Oryctolagus cuniculus: one gene and its partners. The protein of the gene in region 2 binds, or shares a complex with, the protein of the main gene of each other region. Links are inferred from orthologs where the notes say so. Each region holds a gene or a part of one and is shown on either strand. Other genes may lie near its edges.

Region 1 (3,517 bases), on a different chromosome or scaffold from region 2:
CTGGAGCTATCTGTCTGAGGCATACTGCTCCTTGTCACCTCGAGGCTGGTCCTCAGTGCAGCAGAAAACAAGCACACCCCACAGAGGGAAGCGGGGCTGAGACAGAGAGAGACCGACGATCCTGAGCTGCAGGCTAGTTTATCCCCTCTGCACTCCCCAGCGTGCGCTGGACTTACAACACGTGTATTTCCAGCAGTCCTAGGTCACAGCCAAGCAACAGCCTGGAGCCGCAGAGGAAGCTGGGTACCTGACGCTGTCGAGCTGCAGCTGGACGTGCACGTGCCTCTCGGAAAGCTGGCTGAGCTCCTCCTCCTGGCGCGCTCTGAACGCGCTGTACTCCAGTTTCACAGAGGACAGCTCCTTGTCGGCAGAGTGAAGCACCACCCGCAGGTCATGCACCTCGCTCCTCAGGACTAAGCAGAAACAAAACAAATCCTCAACGGCGATCTTCACCAGTGTGTTTCATAAAGTAGGCAAATGAACTCGGGAGGTCCCCTTGCCAAATCCGCACATTCAAGGTAAGGGACCTCTTTCAGAGAGGGGCCTGTCTCTTCTCATTTTCTTCTTCCCTGCTTATGCTTTTTGAAACATTTCTATCAAAAAGGAAGAGTCAGCTCACAGGTAACTAGACTTCTGCAGATTTCTCCCACAGAATGTGCATCAAAAAAAATTTTTTTAAAGACTTATTTATTAGAAAGGCAGAGTTGGAGAAAAAGGTTTCTCATCTGTTGGTTTACTCCCCAAATGGCTGCAACAACTGGACTGGGCCAGGCCAAAGCCAGGAGCCAGGAGCTTCTTCTGGGTCTCCCGCATGGGTGCAGGGGTCCAAGGACTCGGGCCATCTTCTACTGCTTTCCCAGGCCACAGCAGAGAGCTGGATGGGAAGAGGAGCAGCCAGGAATAGAACCGGCGCCCATATGGGATGCTGGCGCTTCGTGCCAGGGCGTTAACCTGCTGCGCCACAGCGGCGGCCCCAATATAATCTCATGAATTACAAATCCCTTGGAAATGTATCAGAACTTCACAATACAGGTTAAGCATTTCTGGTGTCCTAATGAGACTCCACTTGCAAATATAATTAGGTAATTAAACAAAAATGGGGCTGGCACCCTGGTGTAGTGTTATGTCGCTGCCTGCGACACCAGCTTTCCACATGGGGTGCTGATGTATGTCCTAGCTGTTTCACTTCTGATCCAGCTCCCTGATAATGCACTTGGGAAAGCGGCAGAAGATGGCCCAAGTGCTCGGGTCCCTGCCACCCACGTGGGAGATCAGGATGGAGTTCAGGCTCTTCCTGGCTTCGGCCTGGCCCAGCCCTTCCATTGTGACCATCTGGGGAGTCCCAGTAGATAGAAGATCTCTGCTTCTCCTTCTTTCTCTCTAACTCTACCTTTCAAATAAATAAATAACTCTAAAGGAAACAGATCGGCTTTCATTTTAGCTGTATTATAAACTACTTGCACATACTCTGATGAAGGGAGAAATAAAAAACTAGCCATCAAATAAGATTCTCACATCTACAAATATCTACAAGTCTCTAATTTATGTGTTGTTGTCAATAGCAAAATATTCATCTTATGAATTGAAGAGACTTCATTCTCAAAGCAGTTTACTTAAAACTTTAAGCAAACAATTGAATCATTTATGTGTTGACAATGCTGAAGGTAATTACTACCTTTTATGATATACTACTCAGCTACCACACACACAGCTTATGTCTAGTCATCTCACGACAAGTAACAGTGAAATGGAACCAAGCAAAAGCCAGGGCAGCATTATGTAAATGAACAGAGCCACAAAGCCCGTCGGCGCTCTCACTTACAGTCATTCTTGGTTTGAGTGTCTCGCAGCTGCTTGTCAAGGATGTTCAACTGTGAGAGATGCTCCTGCTGCTGTTTGGCCCAATCAGTTCTTTCTGATGAGAAAAGCTTTGGGAAAAACATGCATTTATTGGAAAAGGAACACTGGTCAGCCACGACACGCTGCAGATCCTTAACCTGTTTTGTGCTCTCTGTCTCCTTCTCAGGGCAGAACGTGCAGCTGACATCATGGCCTCCCATGGGCTCTGTCTTTGAGGCCATGGGGCACATGGCGCCTGTCTCACCTCCTGCATCTGTGTGGAGTGATGCTCCAGTCTGTCGACATGCTGCTGCAGCTTCAGGTTTTTGTGCTCTTCTTCGTCCAACTTGACTTGAAGAGAACTCATTTGTTCCTGCAACACAGAGACTTCAGTCACCAAAGTTCTCCCAATGGAATTCTCAACCACCCCACCTTTTCTTCTGCATTAGAGACCACACACAAAGCAAACTCAAAGTTTCACTGAAAAAAGGTATCCAAGGCCTGACTGGGGGTAGAAAACCATTTCAAAAGGCTATAGAGTGTCTCATGCTTCAGAACACCCTCCATCAAAGGTAACAAGTGAAACACAGAGGACAGAGTGATTAAAACTGACATCCTGGGGTGGGCATTTGGGGCTGCAGTTAACATGTCATTTGAGATTCCCTCATCCCATACTGAAGAGGCTGGGGCAAGTACTGGGGTCCTTGCCACCCATGTGGGAGACCTAGACTGAGTTCCAGGCTCCTCCCTTTGGCCTGGCCCAGACCCAGCTGTTATGGGCATTTAAGTGCACAAGCAGGTAAGAGCGCTATCTTTCAATTAAATAAAATAAGTAAAAACTTTAAAACAATTTTATATCCTGGGTTAAACCAAATGCCACCTGAGACTTCTAAGAAGCTTCCTCAGGTTGCAAGAGATAACCTCATCCAAGGACGTCCAAGGCCTGGGAGGGGCAGACTTGGGATGGGGAGCAGTCTGGTCCATTCCAAGTTTTATTGGACAGCTTTGTGAAAAAATCGCCAAATGACTAAATTCTGAAATAATCAAATTTCACATGTTATTTCAAATACTCTAAAAGCTGTCAAACATCTCATGTGTAACAGTTTTTCAAATTATTTTCACTCTCTGTACAAGACTCAGCATCATGCCATACACGTCAGTTCTGGAACTGGTTTGCTTGTGGCAGTCTGGTCATTTTATGCATGAAGGAACTAAATCCACAGAGGTTGGAAAATGACTTGCTAAAGACTGCAAAGTGAATTAAAAGAGAAGGGCAGGCTGATTTCCTAGCCAGGGACCTTTACATACGCAGACTTAGCAAGACAATTACAGCACTAAGCAGGTTTGAACAGCACAAATTACAGGGAGGTAAAATGGCAGATAAAGCAACTTTATTTAAATAAGTGTTCAATTATTTACTATTTCTAAAACTAAGCATTACCTGCACTGTTCTCAGCTCTTCTGAAATGGCCTCAAATGCTTGCTCGCTCATCTCAGGGGGAATGGGCTCATTTGCGATGTCATTATCTACTTTGCTGGACTCCTCAGTGTGCGCAGGAGTAAAGCTCCCTATTTCAGGGCTCATTTTTGGCACCAGCAGAGAACGAAGCTGATAAGCCTTGGTTGGTGTAGTTATAATCTGCAGCAGAAAATGATTATGGAAAACAACATTAGCACA
Region 2 (4,065 bases):
CCAGCGTTTGGAAGACTCCCTCCCCTCTCTCTGCCTCTCTGTAAGCCTGTCTTTCAAATAAACAAAATAAATCCTTAAGAAAAAAAAAAGTGACTTGGTCATTCCACAGAAACATAAAATATATCAACTCAATAATTTTATGAAAAAGTGACTTGATCTGTCCTCAGTAGTTAGCACTGTAGGTCATACTGATAATATAATGAGATTGGGCAGTTCTCTGTTCAACATTATTTACTTATTCTTTTTAACAGATTTTTTTTTATTTGACAGGTAGAGTTACAGACAGTGAGAGAGAGAGAGAGAGAGAGCAAGGTCTTCCTTCCGTTGGTTCACTCCTCAAATGACTGCCACAACTGGAGCTGCGCCGATCTGAAGCCAGGAGCCAGGTGCTTCTTCCTGGTCTCCCATGAGGGTGCAGGGCCCAAGCATTTGGGCCATCCTCCACTGCCCTCCCAGGCCACAGCAGAGAGCTGGACTGGAAGAGGAGCAGCCGGGACTAGAACCAGCGCCCATATGGGATGCCAGTGCCGCAGGCGGAGGATTAACCAAGTGATCCACAGCGGCATCGGCCTTTAACAGATTTTTTAAGATTTATTTAATTTATTTGAAAGGCCAAGTGACAGAGATGGAATAACAATAGAGAAAGAGATCTTTCATCACTGGTTCACTCCCTAAATGGCTGCAACAGCTAGGGCTGAGCTAGGCCAAAGCCAGGATCCAGGAGCCCCATCTGGGTCCCCCATGTTGACGCAGGAATACCTGCTGTCTCCCAGGGAGCACATTAGCAGGGAGCTGGATTGGAAGTGGAGCAGCCAGGACTCCACATCAGGGCTCCATGCCTCAATCAAGTATGCTGGCACTGCAAGCAGTGGTGTAACCCGCTGCGCCACAACAACCACTCCTTAAATAATTTTTAAAGTACTCATTAAGATCTGAGGTTATGGCCGGCGCCACAGCTCACTAGGCTAATCCTCCGCCTTGCGGCGCCGGCACCCCAGGTTCTAGTCCCGGTCAGGGCACCGGATTCTGTCCCGGTTGCCCCTCTTCCAGGCCAGCTCTCTGCTGTGGCCAGGGAGCGCAGTGCAGGATGGCCCAAGTCCTTGGGCCCTGCATCCCATGGGAGACCAGGAGAAGCACCTAGCTCCGGCCATCGGATCAGCGCGGTGCGCCAGCCACAGCAGGCTGGCCACGGTGGCCATTGGAGGGTGAACCAACAGCAAAAGGAAGACCTTTCTCTCTCTCTCTCTCTCTCACGGTCCACTCTGCCTGTCCAAAAAAAAAAAAAAAAAAAAAAAAAAATCTGAGGTTATATGGTTAAGGAAAACTTCAGATAACTGAAGTTTAGTTTGAATTTAACATATTACAAATTTCAATAGTTCCTCATCCACTCAAGAGATATTTAGAATCTGCACACTATGTGCCACCTACTGGGGTGAGTTTAAGAAAAGGTAGTCTCTGTTACTGTGTGGCTTTCAAATTGCTGGACCATGACAAAAGAATATGATCCAGTATGAGTTGTCTCTTAATTTTGAGGTTTGTCTTTGAGACCTACTTGCCATCAAATCCACTTTGGTAATATTCCCTCAATCACCTACACTGGGTCCTGGAACTACTGGCTGTGAGAGTAAGCAAACATCCTGGCACACACAGGAAGCTCATGCATCCTTGTATTTTCAAGAGTTTTGTTCCCAATGCAGAATGTTGGTTTATTTCTTATCAAGCACCATAAAAACGGGAATATTGTAAGTATTCAAAGGTGGTAAAGAGATCAGTCTGAACCAAAATGATCCAAAGAAAGTTACTGAAATGAGGTGATTCTTGGGATGGTTTTGAATGGGCAGGAATCCCCCGGGGGGGCGAACCAATGTAGCAACGGAAACTGAAGACTTCAGACATTTTGTTTTGAATTATTAATGTTTTACGGTCACTGTCATTTCCACGACACCTTAAGTTAAGATTTACATTAGTCTGGATTTTAACAGAATGACCAGTCTCTGGACAGCGGAGAGCCGGCGGGCACATGACACGCAGGAGGGCCCCGGAAACCAGCGTGCTGCCCGTGGGCAAGCGAGGCATGGAGAGGGAGTATGGAAGCCAGCGCAGGGGGATGCGGTTACACGGCTCCAAGTCCTAAGGCTGGCCTTTCCCACCGCTTCAAACACACGAGCAGAAGTCGTGCCATATCTAACACGGCCCGGAGCGGGGGCTCCTCTCCACGCCCTCGCCTCGCACGGCCCGGGGCCGGCTCTGGGGGCTGCACGGCGGCCGGCCGGGCTCGCTCTCACCTGCGCCTGGATGTAGAGGGAGATGCAGCCGTGCGAGAGCCGGTACCTGCGCAGCAGCCGCAGGCATTTCACCAGGTGCTCCTCGCCCGCCGACAGCTCCTCGGTGTCGATGTGGTTCACCCCGAGGTGGAACTCTATAACCGCCAGCCTGACCGCCCGCTGGGCGACGGGCCCTTCGGCCTCCACCACCTCCGTGGGCAGCCCCAGGGCGTGGTCCCCAGCGCCCAAGCCCTCGTCGGCCTGCAGCCGCTCATCCTCGTCGTCGGGCGCGGGGCCGAGCAGCGCCTTGACCTCTTCCAGCAGCGCTCTGGCGCTGTATTTGGACTTGTACGGTTCCTTCTCCGGGTTTTTATGCAGTTCCACTCGCGACAGGGCCAGCGCCGCCTGGAATTTCTCTCGGACCTCGGCCCACTGCGCACTCGCCATAGCGGCCCCTACAGCCGGGGCTTTCTCAGTGTTTGCAGTCGGGACTCCCGCCTTCCTTCTGCTTTGCGACACTTCACTTACGGCTCTCGACAGGTCGGGCTGCGGCAGATCGGCAGCCAATTAAAGTCCGCTTGGGGAACCGCAATAGGTTCGGCAGTGACCAATGGGAAGGCGAGGTGGTCGCCATGGCAACTGCTGTCTAGAAAATAGGTCCCCGAGGGTGTCCCCGCCTCCAGCCCCGCCCCACTACGTCGTGGTGTCGTCTCCTGTTAGTTCACCCTGTGAAGTGTGTGTATGTATAGTGCATATTAAAATGTTTAATATCCGCTTACTTTACCGAAACGTTTTGGAATATAGTTTACAAAAATATCAGGGCCGGCATTGTAGCGTAGCGGGTTAGGCCCCCGCCTGTACCCCCGGCATCCTGTATGATCACCGGTTCGAGTCCCGGCTGCTCCACTTCAGTCAAGCTCCCTCCTAATGTGCCTGGAAAAGCAGTGGAAGAAGCTGCCTCCACGAGTGGGAGACCTGGATGAAGCTCCTAGCTCCCTCCTGGACCAGCCCTGGCCATTGCAGCCATTTGGAGAATGAACCAAGCCGATGGAAGATTTGTCAGTCTCTTGCTCTCTCTGTAACTCTGCCTTTCAAATAAAAAATAAATAAAAAAAATTTTAAAAAAGAAGGAAAATAGCTAATGGATGTAAACTGGAAGGCAACCGACCTTTGAGATTAAGGTATACCCCACCCATCGCTGGTTAAGTTTCTTTGGAAAAGGCTCTGCTCTCTAACAGGGATCGCTTACTAGGACATGAATTCTTGATGGAAAGTTATGGATAGGAGCACTCACCGGTAGGTACCTATTTCACTGAGCCTGGAATACAGAGGTGAACTGCCCGAGGTAACAGGCTGGAAGACCGGTTACCACTGAAGTAACCAAGTGGGAAAGGGAGACTTTTACCAAGCTCTAGCCACATGAAGTGCCTTGAGATAGGTATTTTTATTTTTTTAATTATTTTTATTTTATTTATTTATTTATTTATTTGACAGGCAGAGTGGACAGTGAGAGAGAGAAACAGAGAGAAAGGTCTTCGTTTTGCCGTTGGTGCACCCTCCAATGGCCGCTGCGACCGGTGCACCGCGCTGATCCGAAGGCAGGAGCCAGGTGTTTCTCCTGGTCTCCCTTGGGGTGCAGGGTCCAAGCACTTGGGCCATCCTCCACTGCACTCCCTGGCCACAGCAGAGAGCTGGCCTGGAAAAGGGGCAACCGGGACAGAATCTGGTGCCACGACCGGGACTAGAACCCGGTGTGCTGGCGCCGCAAGGCGGAGGATTAGCCTAGTGAGCCGCGGCACCG
Region 3 (3,517 bases), on a different chromosome or scaffold from region 2:
ATTGGCGCAGCAACAGCCGTAGTGGCCATTTGGGGGTGAACCAACGGAAGGAAGACCTTTCTCTCTGTCTCTCTCTCTCACTGTCTAACTCTGCCTGTCCAAAAAAAAAAAAAAACAACAAATGGCCACCATGGCCGGCGATCCGAAGCCAGGAGCCTGGTGCTTCCCCCTGGTCTCCTATGTGGATGCAGAGGCCCAAGCACCTGGGCCATCCTCCACTGCCTTCCTGGGCCACAGCAGAGAGCTGGACTGAAAGAGGAGCAACCGGGACTAGAACCCGGCGCCCATATGGGATGCCAGCGCCGCAGGCAGAGGATTAACAAAGTGAGCCACAGCGTCGGCCCCATAAAAAATTAACCCTAAAAAAATGTACAATAAATACTCCAGACCAGGAATTTTAATGAATTTATATATTGAAAACTCTTGTGCAATAAAATAGTTTTAATGAACCATAACAAAGATTTCTCAAAACTATTAATTTAAACAAATGAAACTGCCAGCTTACCTCCAGATAAGAGACTGCAGTACTGCATACTTTCTCTTCTTTAATTTCATCCATGGATTTGTAAAGGTCTAACATCGTTAGGTACATCACTCCAGGTTCACCAACTGATCCTAGCATTGTGTGGGTCTTCCCAGCTCCAGTGGCCCCATAGGCAAGTACTGAATTTTTATGAAAAGGAATCAAAGCTCTTTGTTATGACATGTAACACTCTCCTATGCACTGACAAGTGGATAGTTCCATCTGGATATTCTTTACAGTAACTTTAAACCTAACAGATCCAAATTTGATTAATGCTCAAAACCTGGGAATTCTAGCACAAATCTCTTACACCCATATTCCATTGTGATTAATGCTACCATCACCCAGCACCTCCTACTCCAAACTTGTGCCCTTTCTTCCAAAGTAGTCTTGTAAATTTTAACCAATCATGGATCTCCCTACCTATTAGTCTCAGTCTTCTATTATCCATCCCTTGGGATTCATACTAAAATCATCTTCAGCAAAATGGGATCCAATTATGTTAAACTTTCCATTTAGTCTCATATTCCTACATGAGAAATTCAAATTCCCCACCTTGGAAAAATGATAAATCACTCTAAGGGAAGGTGCTTGTTTATTTTTCCAGGTTTATTTCTTATTTCTAGATGTATTAGATTCAATGTTTTCAGCATTTGCTGCTCCTTTTCTATACCACTGTCTTTGAGGGGTGTCTTGGAGAAATGTTATACAAACTTTTAACTATGAAAATATGATATTAATAACATAACAGCCATGCATTTCCTAAAATGTATAAATTGAATTAACTGACTATTAAGGGTCTCATTTATTCTAGGATCAACAGTAATTTGAAAGGAAAATTACTATAGCCTCTCCAAAGCATTAGACTTTTTGGGCTCTGATATCCTAAAATGGCACAAAATATTCAGATAAGATGAACTTTTAATATTTTTATTTCAATGTATCATCAAGATAAACAGTGTTGCAATGATATTACTAAGTATTCAGAAAACCAGGACTACTACCCCAGAGATAGATAATTGTAGAGGTCAGCAGTGGGTATATTTAGGAATACAAATTTTGAGAACTCCACTGTAAACTGCCAGAAATATGTGGTTTAATAATATAGGAAACAGAAAGGATTAAATCTATAGGGGACACAATGAGACCACAGGAAACAAAGTCTCACAATTGATATATGTTATATACAATGGCAAAATTTTAAAGAAAGTCTATTTTGTCATTTGTCTGCTGAACTTTACCACAGAAGCATCTTAATAAGGGCCAACTATATGATTTTCCTATATAAAACTGCAATCCAAATGGAGAAATTGAATGCCAAACTGAAACAATTACCTGTGCAATTATATCCATTCAAAAAACTACGAAGAATTGGCTTAGTTGTTTGTTCAAAAACTTCCAATTGAGTTGAAGTTTCATCAAAAACAGTATCAAATACAAATTTAAGATCTTTATTTTGTCTCTTTGTAATATCAAAATTTGTAGTTTTCTTTTTATGAAAAAAACTGATTTCTTCTTGTTTGGGATCAAAAAGTAGTATATGTTTATCCACAACATGGACCACTTTACGGAATCCAGCTGCCTTTTCCTTTGTGTTTTCAGGACGTACACGAACAACTACTTTCATGTGGTGACACAGGTCTTCTTCAGTGGCAGACATTGTTGATTATCTTGATTTCTGACTATACCTAGATCTTTCTCTAAAATTAAAAAAAAGTTTCATTATTAGTTCTACTTATTGTATTCATTTGAATACATTCATTTGAATACAATTCATTCATTTGAATACAATATACTATTGTGTAGTATTCATTTGAAAAAGGTATCAATTCTGTTCTACTCACCTAGTAAATGTTACTGGGGAAAAAAAAAATACATGCATTTACATATCCTCAAACAAAAAGTTAAATGGCACACATGTACACAAAACCAAGAAAAAAACCCTCTTCATCTGAATTATTAGTCAGATCCTGGGCTTCAGATTAAACTCAAATACTATGGATGAACCTCATGTAATCAGTTATGCTACCCACAAATCCCAGCTCTGACATTCACAAGGGGTCTACTACTATTTTAGCTTGGGTCCTGAGAATGGAAAGCAAACGATCATTCAGAATCATATCAAGCAAATGCCGAGAGAGCTTTAGCTTGTGAGCTATTTTTAGTAAAGCGATCGTGGTTGCAGAACTCTTGGTAGAGAAAAGTGATGCATCCAGTTGATCTTAACATTATCTCAGAATCTCATCGGGTTAAAAATAGTTCCAAGGATGCATCAAGTAGCTAGCTAAGGTGTGAGATTGACAGAGATGGTATATACTCTTTGGTACATTCATAGATCCTAATCTCTGCTGGCTAATGATAATGGACATAAAAAATTGTGGTTTGACCTTCTAACTACCTCACATGAAAAGATTAAAGGTAAACTAACAAAGATCAATAATTTGGAAGTCTCAATTATTCAGATATTAATCTAGAACCTGAAAGTTATAACAAATAAACACCAAAACAACATTTGAGAAAAGACTTGAAGTTGTTGAGGGACTAAATGCAATCTATTAATCCCACTTCTGGGAATATATCCAAAGGAACAAAAACCAGTAATATTGAAGAGCTGTCTTAACTCTGATGTTCACTGCAATACCAGTCAAAATAACCAAGATGTGGAAACACTTAAGTGCCTACCAATAGATGAGTGGCTATGGTAAATTGGGGTATATAAACAAAGTGGAGTACTATTCAGCCTTACAAAAGAATGGAATTCTGTTATTTGTGACAAACATGGATGAATATAGAGGATATTATCTCAAGTGAGTTAAACCAAGCACAGAAAAACAAAAATTGTATGATCTCACTTACATATAGAATCTTTAAAATTTGAACTCAGAATTACAGTTGAATGATGATTACCAGAGGCTAGGGGTGGGGGTAGGCATAGGATGTGTGGAGAAAGGTGCAAGGTTAATCAAAAGGGTACAAAGTTTTAGTTTGAGAAGA

What was found.
Region 1: the proteins of KIFBP (region 2) and KIF15 are in contact, whole or in part, in a cryo-EM structure (PDB 6ZPH), measured with the Homo sapiens proteins. The link is inferred for Oryctolagus cuniculus from reciprocal best matches to the Homo sapiens genes KIFBP and KIF15. Residues at the interface, in NP_056449.1 of Homo sapiens: Lys26, Tyr33, Lys36, Ile106, Glu109, Ile147, Ser150, Glu151, Glu153, Thr208, His209, Tyr212, Tyr213, Gln216, Gln219, His220, Phe224, Gln238, Glu248, Trp249, Ile251, Asn252, Thr255, Gln258, Phe259, Asn262, Tyr415, Val416, Thr417, Glu421; in NP_064627.1 of Homo sapiens: Leu187, Glu189, Ile191, Lys192, Lys193, Arg231, Glu232, Arg235, Arg271, Met280, Arg281, Leu282, Lys283, Glu284, Ala285, Gly286, Asn287, Asn289, Arg290, Leu292, Ser293, Gly296, Gln297, Ile299, Ala301, Val303, Asp304, Val305, Gly306, His312.
Region 3: the proteins of KIFBP (region 2) and KIF18A are in contact, whole or in part, in a cryo-EM structure (PDB 7RSI), measured with the Homo sapiens proteins. The link is inferred for Oryctolagus cuniculus from reciprocal best matches to the Homo sapiens genes KIFBP and KIF18A. Residues at the interface, in NP_056449.1 of Homo sapiens: Ser150, Glu151, Tyr212, Tyr213, Gln216, His220, Gln238, Ile251, Asn252, Thr255, Gln258, Asn262, Gly414, Tyr415, Val459, Asp460, Leu461, Asn462, Pro463, Gln464, Leu467; in NP_112494.3 of Homo sapiens: Glu181, Thr183, Gln184, Lys185, Gly186, Arg274, Phe275, Val276, Glu277, Gly278, Thr279, Asn280, Ile281, Arg283, Ser284, Leu285, Leu288, Gly289, Val291, Ile292, Arg314, Lys317, Asp318, Gly322, Asn323.

What each region holds. Positions count from the first base shown.
Region 1 is NC_091441.1:102,663,019-102,666,535, reverse strand, and holds part of KIF15 (kinesin-like protein KIF15), read right to left. Parts: intron 3,479-3,517; coding exon 3,281-3,478; intron 2,213-3,280; coding exon 2,105-2,212; intron 1,929-2,104; coding exon 1,823-1,928; intron 414-1,822; coding exon 248-413; intron 1-247. UniProt on the Homo sapiens protein: Plus-end directed kinesin-like motor enzyme involved in mitotic spindle assembly.
Region 2 is NC_091446.1:60,775,595-60,779,659, reverse strand, and holds the start of KIFBP (KIF-binding protein), read right to left. Parts: upstream 2,808-4,065; 5' UTR 2,712-2,807; coding exon 2,286-2,711; intron 1-2,285. UniProt on the Homo sapiens protein: Activator of KIF1B plus-end-directed microtubule motor activity. Required for organization of axonal microtubules, and axonal outgrowth and maintenance during peripheral and central nervous system development.
Region 3 is NC_091432.1:38,231,577-38,235,093, reverse strand, and holds part of KIF18A (kinesin-like protein KIF18A), read right to left. Parts: intron 2,224-3,517; 5' UTR 2,184-2,223; coding exon 1,859-2,183; intron 664-1,858; coding exon 506-663; intron 1-505.